Macaca fascicularis: one gene and its partner. The protein of the gene in region 1 interacts with the protein of each later gene in a biochemical or structural test. Links are inferred from orthologs where the notes say so. Each region holds a gene or a part of one and is shown on either strand. Other genes may lie near its edges.

What was found.
Region 2: the proteins of RAD51 (region 1) and RAD54B form a complex in vitro, tested with the Homo sapiens proteins (2 studies listed by BioGRID). The link is inferred for Macaca fascicularis from reciprocal best matches to the Homo sapiens genes RAD51 and RAD54B.

The regions. Positions count from the first base shown.
Region 1 is NC_088381.1:17,222,272-17,227,843, reverse strand, and holds the start of RAD51 (DNA repair protein RAD51 homolog 1), read right to left. Parts: upstream 3,349-5,572; 5' UTR 3,078-3,348; intron 1-3,077.
Region 2 is NC_088382.1:104,022,910-104,027,394, reverse strand, and holds the end of RAD54B (DNA repair and recombination protein RAD54B), read left to right. Parts: intron 1-2,753; coding exon 2,754-2,971; 3' UTR 2,972-3,163; downstream 3,164-4,485. UniProt on the Homo sapiens protein: Involved in DNA repair and mitotic recombination. May play an active role in recombination processes in concert with other members of the RAD52 epistasis group.

The DNA.
Region 1 (5,572 bases):
TATCAACTTGTTCTCATAAATATGTACAATCATCTGTCAAAAACAAAGTAAAACTTATTATTTTCACAACCTTGGGATATAAAAAGATTTCTTGAAACGATACATAACGCACTAGCCAAAAAGGAAAAGACTGAAAGCTGAACTACATTTAAATTCAGCACTTCGGCCAGGCACTGTGGCTCAGGCCTGTACTCCCAGCACTTTGGGAGGCTGAGACGGGCAGATCACCTGAGTTCAGGAGTTCGAGACCAGCCTGACCAACATGGAGAAACCCTGTCTCTACTAAAGAAAAATACAAAATTAGCCGGGCGTGGTAGCACATGCCTGTAATCCCAGCTACTCAGGAGGCTGAGGCAGGAGAATCGCTTGAACCCGGGAGGTGGAGGTTGCGGTCAGCCAAGATCGCGCCATTGCACTCCAGCTTGGGCAACAAGAGTGACTCTCTGTCTCAAAAGGAAATATAAATAAATAAAATAAAAAATAAAAAAATAAATTCAGCACTTCTATTCATCAAAGGACACCACTAAGAGAATGACAAGTCAAACCACAGTAGAGGTGAAAACATTTAGCACAAACATAACTGAGGGCTGATAACCAGAATATAAAGAACTTTGGCCTGGCGCGGTGGCTCAAGCCTGTAATCCCAGCACTTAGGGAGGCCAAGACGGGCGGATCACGAGGTCAGGAGATCGAGACCATCCTGGCTAACACGGTGAAACCCCGTCTCTACTAAAAAATACAAAAAACTAGCTGGGCATGGTGGCGGGCGCCTGTAGTCCCAGCTACTGGGGAGGCTGAGGCAGGAGAATGGCGCGAACCCGGGAGGCGGAGCTTGCAGTGAGCTGAGATCCGGCCACTGCACTCCAGTCTGGGCGACAAAGCGAGACTCTGTCTCAACAAAAAAAAAAAAAAAAAAGAACTTCACATCAGTAAGAAAAAGTAGAAAAATAGACAAGAGATTTGAACAAGTACATCACAGAAGATATCCAAATGGGAAAAACATATGAACAAATACCCAACCTCATTAGTAATCAGGAAAATTAAAATCACATTGAGACATTACTGTGTAACCAGCAGAATAGTAAAAAAAAAAAATTTTTTTTTTTTTTTTTTTTTGAGACGGAGTCTTGCTCTGTCGCCCAGGCTGGAGTGCAGTGGCGCCATCTCGGCTCACTGCAAGCTCCGCCTCCCGACTCATTGCATCTCGGTTCACCGCAATTCTCCTGCCTCAGCCTCCCCAGTAGCTGGGACTACGGGCGCCCGCCACCACGCCCGGCTAATTTTTTTTGTATTTTTAGTAGAGACCGGGTTTCACCATGTTAGCCAGGATGGTCTCTATCTCCTGACCTTGTGATCCGCACGTCTCAGCCTCCCAAAGTGCTGGGATTACAGGCGTGAATCACCGCGCCCGGCCAGAATAGTTAAATATAAAAGGCTGAAAATCGTGTTGTCAAGCATGTAAAACAACGAAACACTCAACACTCCTGATGTATTTTTATATAAAATTCAAAAACGAGCAACATTAGTTAATCGCATTAGAAACCAGTGTACCAGTTACCACTGTAAAAAGGGGAAAATATTAAATACTACATAAGGAAGGCTTCTGGGGACCATTCTATTAAGTGGTGATTACGTAGGTGTACATTCATTTTGTCTTGCTCTATCGCCCAGGTTGGAGTGCAGTGGCCTGATCACGGCTCACTGCAGCTTATACTTCCCAGGCTAGATCCTCCCTTCTCAGCCTCCTGAATAGCTGGGCCTACAGGTGCACGCCACCAAGCCTGGCTAATTTTTTCTATCTGTAGAGATACTGGTCTCACTATCTTGACCAGGCTGTTCTCGAACTCTTGGGCTCAATTGTCCTCCCGCCTCCACCTCCTAAAGTGCTGGGACTACAGACTTGAGACACTACACCCGGCCAGTATATTTTGTAATAATTCACGGAGTTGTATACAGTTGTGAATGTGCATTTTTCTACATGTATATTACATATCACTTTAGAAGTTTAAAAAAAAAAAAAAAAAGCCGGGCGCGGTGGCTCACGCCTGTAATCCCAGCACTTTGGGAGGCCGAGGCGGGCGGATCACAAGGTCAGGAGATCGAGACCACGGTGAAACCCCGTTTCTACTAAAAATACAAAAAAAAATTAGCCGGGCGCGGTGGCGGGAGCCTGTAGTCCCAGCTACTCAGGAGGCTGAGGCAGGAGAATGGCGTGAACCCGGGAGGCGGAGCTTGCAGTGAGCCGAGATTGCGCCACTGCACTCCAGCCTGGGCGACAGAGCAAGACTCTGTCTCAAAAAAAAAAAAAAAAACAGGGGCCAGGCGCGGTGGTTCACGCCTGTAATCCCAGCACTTTGGGAGGTGGAGGCGGGTGGATAACCTGAGGTCAGGAGTTCGACACCAGCCTGACCAGCATAGTGAAACCCTGTCTCTACTAAAAATACAAAAATCAGCCAGTCGTGGTGGCGGGAGCCTGTAATCCCAGCTCCTTGGGAGGCTGAGGTAGGAGAATCGCTTGAACCCGGGAGGCGGAGGTTGCAGTGAGCCGAGATCGCGCCACTACACTCCAGCCTGGGCTAAAGAGCGAGACTTCATCTCAAAAAAAAAAAAAAAAAAAAAGTTTTAAGAAAACCAAGCCTCACTTCAGATCATTCTCTAGGCATCATGCGAATGGTTTTCCGCATTAGATGACGAAAATACTGTTTTGGCAATTGCAGGTTGGTACTTTCTAAGCACGGTGTAACGGAAAGACAGACCAAGAATCCGGAAGCCCTGGCTGTGATATTAAACAGCTGTGGCTACACCGCTCTGATCTCAGACTCCTCGCTCAAACTCATAAAACGGGTGTTGGCTATGAAGGCTCTAATGTTTCTCCCCTAGTTCTAAAGACTGGGATCCACCTGTGTTTTCGCCCCAGCAACTGAGAGTCGGTCGGACGCGGACACGCCCTGCCACGTCCGGGTTTCACACTGTGCGCGGAGACCCCACCTGCCCCTGAGCATTGGACCGGCCAGGACCCAGGTGGGCGACGACGAGCCGCAGCTATAGAGGGCCCGGCCTGCGCCTCACACACTCACCTTGGCCCTCAGCGCTGCTCTTTCCAACGGGCCGCGCGCTCCGACTTCACCCTGCGGGGGTGACACGCGCCTGACCCGCGCGGACCCCAACGCCCCTGGCTTACGCCCTACTTCAAGTCTACTCGCTTGCCCCAGCCTTCTGCGCACAACCCAGACGAGTTTCAGCTCCCAGCTGCACGCCTCGGGAAGCGCCGCGCTCTCCTTAAGGGTCGGTCTCTGGTCGCTGGGCGCGCTCCGACGGCGGCTTTCAGAATTCGCGCCAAACCCTCTCGCCCAGGGTCACGCACGCGTCGGCGTAACGTATCTCCGCCTTCCGGATCCGCCTTCTTGCCCCTTCCGCCCACCGCGCTAGCCCAAGACTGGAACTCGAGAGCTTGATCCTGCGCGAGGTTACGGACTGCCCTCTTCCCTTTTTGCGTAAGGACTAATTCAGACTTTATGCCGGGCGCGGTGGCTCACGCGCGTAGTCCCAGCTAACTCGGGAGGCCGAGGCGAGAGGATCGTCTGAGCCTGGGAGTTCTAGGCCAACCACGGCAACGCCCCTACTCTTACCCTAGTCCCTCGCGGGTGGGGCGAGGGTTTTCGGGGGACGGTGGGGGAAGACATCAGAGTTGCTGTGGTCTGTTTACCAGATCGAAGACTACAACTCCCAAGAGGTAATGCGTCGGCCCGGGACTGTATCTCCCGGCATGCACCGCCGGCGGGCCTGCGAGTTCCTACCGTCATCCCAGCTGGACTATTACCTGGAGCCGGACTATTACCTGGAGCCTTAGCACTCTTGTGGTTTGTTTCAGCAGTATCTGAACGTCAGCTTTTGGCGCTGGTAGCTCTGAGCCTCCGACTCACATTCCTGGAACCAGGTGCTTTCCAGGCCTCATGGAGGTGGAGGAGCTGAGGAAGCTCGAGAAGATGGATAGAAGTGAGAAATGGAGCTATCGGAGGGGAGAGGGAAATGGCTGGAATATTCGTCAATCTGTGGTGCTTTACTGGAGATTTGCAGGACTTCAGAGGAAGGGGGCATTGAATTTCATAACCTAAACCGTCTCGTGGTTTACCAGAAAGTTTTGACCCGTGATTCCGGTTTTAAAGGCTGAGTAGGGCCGAGAATCGCTTGAACCCGGGAGGAAGAGGTTGCAACGAACCGAGATCTCGCCACTGTACTCCAGCGTGGGCGACAGAACGAGAGTGTCTCAAAACAACACAAGCTAGCTGAGTAGGATTTCTTGGGCGAAGTGGAAGACACTATAAGCAGATAGGGTAGTATGGGCATGGAAACAAACTACATGATTAAAGATTAGTATTATCTAGCGAGGGAGGAAAAGTGCCAGAACAAGTGCCGAAACTGGAAAGTTACATTTAGTTCAGGATATGAAGAGGCTTAAGATCATATAAGGCCTGCACAGTGGCTCACGCCTGTGATCCCAGCACTTTGGGAAGCCAAGGCAGGAGAGGATCGCTTGAGCTCAGGAGTTGGAGGCCAGCCTGGGCAACATAGTGGGACCCCATATCTCCAAAAAGAATAAGCTGGGCATGGTGGCTTGTGCCTGTGGTCTCAGCTATCCCGGAAGCTGAGGTGGGAGGATTGCTTGAGCTCAGGACGTCAAGGCTGCAGTGAGCTATGATGGGACACTGCACTCCAACCTGGGCTACAGAGTGAGATCTTGTCCCAAAAAGCAAGCAACAACAACAACAAAACATGTAAGAAGAGGCCAGGCGCGGTGGCTCAAGCCTGTAATCCCAGCACTTTGGGAAGCCAAGGTGGGTGGATCACGTGGTCAGTTCAAGACCAGCCTGGCCAAGATGGCAAAACCCCATCTCTACTAAAACTACAAAAAGTAGCTGGGCGTGGTGACGCATGCAAGTAATCCCAGCTACTTGGGAGGCTGAGGCACAGAATTGCTTGAACCTGGGAGGTGGAGGTTGCAGTGAGTCGAGATCACCCCACTGCACTCCAGCCTGGGCAACAGAGCAAGACTCCGTCTCAAAAAATACATATATAAGGAGCTTTGTTCTCTAGGTACTGAATAAATCACTGAAAGTTTTTAAGAAGACAAGTTATTTGGTTAGATCTATTTCCCCTCCACTATTACTAATTTGTTATTATTATTATTATTATTTTTTTTTAGATGGAGTCTCACTCTGTTACCCAGGCTGGAGTGCAGGGATGCGATCTCAGCTCACTGCAACCCCCACCTCCCAGATGCAAGCGAGTCTCCATGCCTCAGCCTCCCAAGTAACTGGGATTTTAGGCACTCGCCACCACACCCAGCTAATTTTTTGTATTTTTAGTAGAGACAGGGTTTCACCATGTTGGCCAGGCTGGTCTCAAACTCCTGACCTCAGGTGATCCACCTGCCTTGGCCTCCCAAAGTGCTGGAATTACAGGTGTGATCCATCATGCCTGGCTTTTTTTTTTTTTTTTTTTTTTTGAGACGGAGTCTCACTCTGTCACCCAGGCTGGAGTGCAGTGGCCGGATCTCAGCTCACTGCAAGCT
Region 2 (4,485 bases), on another chromosome or scaffold:
AAGAGAGCTTGTGCAGGGCAACTCCCATTTTTAAAACCTTCAGATCTTATGAGACCCATTCATTATCACAAGAACAGCACAGGAAAGACCTGCCCCCATGATTCAATCATCTCCCACTGGGTCCCTCCCACAACACGTGGGAGTTATGGGAGCTACAAGATGAGATTTGGGTGGGGACACAGAGCCAAACCATATCATCCACAGATGTACAATTAGGTTATTTCCCATAGGTGTGTATTTTATTCATGTATCATTTTGAATATCTTCAAGTATACCTATAAGGTAAATTTTTAGTATTGCTGAGTCAGAGAATATGTACATTTGTAATTTTGATAGACACTGCCAAAATGCCCTTTGTTGGATGTTGTGTCAATTTACACACCCCCAGAAATACACTAGAATGTCTATTTTCCCATAGCCTTGCCAGGTTAGTGGATTATCAAATGCTTGTATTTTTGCCAATCTGATAGTAAGAAAATAATATATTGGTATAGTTTTAATATGCTATTCTCTTATTATGAATGAAGCTGAGCTTTTCCTAAGTTTAAGAACCATACTTCCTTTATGTGAACCATCTCTTTATATTGTTTGCCCATTTAAAACATTAACAACCTAATTTTTTGTTAGGTATATCTATTATTCAAATAAATATATTAAAATATGAAACTATGATGGTGGATTAGACAAAACTATTGTTATTTTTATAATTTTCTGCTTCATATATTTTATATCTTCCTTGTGAAATTTGTTTTTCATTATGGTTTCTCTATTTTATTGTTATGTAGTGATTGCCTTATCCCTAATGCCTTTTGTTTCATTTTGTCTTAACATATGAAACTAGCTTTCTTATCGTTGGGATTTGTCTGGTCTATTTTTTCCCATCTGTTTACCTTAAATCTGTCTATGTTCTTATATTTTAGGTATCTATTGTCAACAGCATAAAGCTGGATTTTATTTTTTGTCCAGTCTGATATTTTGTTTTAGTGAGAATATTTAGTTTGTTTGCATTTATAATTATTAAGGTATTTTTATTTATTTCTACTGTCTTTTCATTTTTTATTTTTAACAAGGGCCTAATACTGGCTCTTAGTTAGCCAGAGGTTTTTTTGGTCAGTACTTTGCAGGTGTTATTCTATTATCTTCTAATTTTTGAAGCAATCTTGTCGTCTCTTTTCTTAAAACCTCAATGATTATGAATACTGACAAGGATTTGATGATATTAAGGAATGACTTGAGGCTTTTCTTTTAGGTGTGATAAAATTTCAAAGAAGTGTTTATCTTTTAGAAATGTAGAATGAAATGTTTATTAGTGAAATGATACATGCTATATATATATTATATTTATTTGAAATTTCCCATAATTAAAAGGTTAAAAAAATAAAACCTCCAATAGCTTCCTGTTGCTCTTAGGATAGATACTAAGTTAGGGCAGTCTAAATGCTGTAACAAACTAAAAAAGCACAATGGTCTAACACAATAGAAATATGTTTCTCATTTGTGTAACAGGTCATTGTGGGCATTTAGTGGACAGCCTTTCATAAAGTAATTTTGTGATCCAGGGTTCTTCCACTTGGAGCTCTTCCATCCCTTTGGACCTTAGAGTCCTCTGCTGGGTTCCCCTGCATCTGCCAGCCAGCAATGAGAGAAGAGATAAAGTAGAAAATTGTTCAGTTTGAAGTATATTTATAGTTCAGATCTGGAAGTGACATAGCTGCATTCCATAGGCCAGACACAGTGGCAGTTTCTAACTGTAAGGGAGGCTGGGAAAGGTGACTAAGTGCCCTGGAGGAAAGAGAAATGGATTTGGTGAATAACGGCTGGCCTCTGCCATTCATGTTTTGCATAATCCAGCCCTTGAATACTTGCATCACCTTGCATTACTTAACTTCTCTTGCATTATTCTTTGCTTTTACTCTATAGGCTCTAATTGCATAGGCTCCTATCAATTGCTTGATTATGCCAATGCCCCTTCCTTTTCATAGCTTTTTAATGTGCTTATCGTGGAATGCTTTATCTTTCTTCTCCATCTAGTTCTTTCCTCCTCATCTTTCAGATCTTAATAGAACATTTCCTCAGGGTGCCCTTCACTTACCTTCCAGACCAAGTCAACTTCTCTTGTCATATGTAAGGTAGTTCCCTGTATCTTTCCTTCATACCCTTACCTCTGTTTGTAATTCAGCTCCACAGTCCCTTATCTTCAATTCTGAAATCTAGAAAGCTCAAAAGATTTTTTTTTCTTCATAAATTTGTGACAAAATTATTTGTGGCAAAACCTTACCTAAATTGATGTGAGTTTATCGATAGTTTTTATTTAACTCATTTTGTAAGACTGTGACTTGCTACAGAATGTTGATGAGTTTCATTATGGAATGCTGACCCAGACTGTTCGAATTATATTCTGAATTTGGAAACATATCTGGCCCCACAGGTTTTAGGCAAGGGATTTTGAACTTGTAATACATTTTTTTGGATGATTATTTATTTAATATATATCTCTCCCACTAGACTGTAAGGTCCTTTAAGTCAGAGACCATGCCTGTGTTTCTTCATCATTTTACCTTTACTGTTTAACTCAGTACATAGTAAATAATTTATAAATGTTTGTAAAAAGAATGAATGAATTTGTCTTAACTTGAACCATGGTGATCAAATGTAATAAATCACATAAACGAAGTATCATGAAACAAAAAAGTATTGTATTTAGTAGGATATTGGCTTGCCTAAGGATTTTCTCATTGTTTTACTTATTGCAGGTGATTCGTTGGAAAAATTCATTGTCTCTAGAGATTGTCAACTTGGTCCACATCACCAGAAATCTAACTCCCTGAAACCTCTTTCTATGTCCCAGCTGAAGCAATGGAAACATTTTTCTGGAGATCATTTAAAAATTACAGATCCTTTTCTTGAAAGAATAACAGAAAATGTGTCATTCATTTTTCAGAATATAACCACTCAAGCTACTGGCACATAATGAAAGATTACTTCATGACATTCCATTGCTCTTCTTTTGAAAATTAGTATGGTAATTAAATGTACTATTTGAAAATTAATAGAATTATTTAAATTACAATATGTGTTGCAAAATATATTACTTTTGATACAACAGTCAAAATTGAGTGGTTTAAGTTTTTGTAAATATTAAACATTTAAATGAAAAATTAAAGATGTGCTTTTATCATTGTATAATTGTTAATAATTCCTTGATTAATATGCTTTCATTAAGTATTTACTGAGAAATTGTTATGAGGAATATAAAAAGGTAAAAATACTTAGTCTCTGTCTTTGGGAAAACTAATCTGATTAGAAATATTAGATGTTTGAAACAACTGAAAAACTTGGTAAGTTTAAAATGTAGCTCAAAGGAGGAAGAGAATGAGAGGCTAGGATTGCAAATGCTAAAGATGTTGGATGTAATAGTTGCTGCAGGGCAGTTTGAGCAAGAAAAGTCAGTAGGTTAGTGCAGGAGATGAAGGGTTTGAGAACACTTTAGAGCACTAGTTCCTAGTTTGGGACCTCAGACTTAGGCAGTTTATAAAGCCATGTCCACCAAATATTGCTTATGCACTGCATAAACGTTCAAATACCATCATTTAAGGGTTATCTGGAGTAATTTTTGACATTGAAAAGAGTGTTTTTTAGCTGTGCACAGTGACTCCAGTTTGTAATCCTAGTTACTTAGTAGGTAGAGGCAGGAGGATTGCTTGGGACCAATAGTTTGAGACTAGCCTGAGCAACATAGTGAGGCTCTGTCTCTAAAAAATAAACTTAGCCAGGTATGGTGGCACATGCCTGTAGTTCCAGCTACTTGGGAGGCTGAGGCAGGAGGATTGCTTGAGCCTAGGAGTTTGAGTTTGCAGTAAACTATGATTGGATATGATCCAATATCCATCGGGTGACAGAGTGAGACCCCATCTTAAAAGAAAAAAAAAAGGGGTTTAATGTACAAAGCAAGCTTTAGAAGACTGAAGCTTGCAAAGAGAAAGGAGTTACTAATTTAATTTCCAAGTGGGGCTTCTGTAATTAGCTTTTGTTTCCATTTAGGAAAATTTCCTTTAGATGGAAAATACAGGTATACCCTGGAGATATTGCAGGTTTGGCTACAGACCACTGCAATAAAATGAATATCACAATAAAGCGAGTAACACATTTTTTTGGTTTTCCAGTGCATATGAAAGTTATGTTTATGCTATAGTCTACTAAGTATGCAACAGTATCATGTCTGAAAAATGATGTATTTTCCTTAATTTAAAAATAATTTGCTAGAAAATGCTAACGGTCATCTGAGACTTTAGTGAGTTGATGTCTTTTTTTTTGTTTTTTGAGACGGAGTCTTGCTCTGTCACCCAGGCTGGAGTGCAGTGGCACGATCTTGGCTCATTGCAACCTCTGCCTCCTGGGTTCAAGCAATTCTTCCTGCCTCAGCCTCCCAAGTAGATGGGATTACAGACATCCGCCACTATGCCCAGCTAATTTTTGTATTTTTAG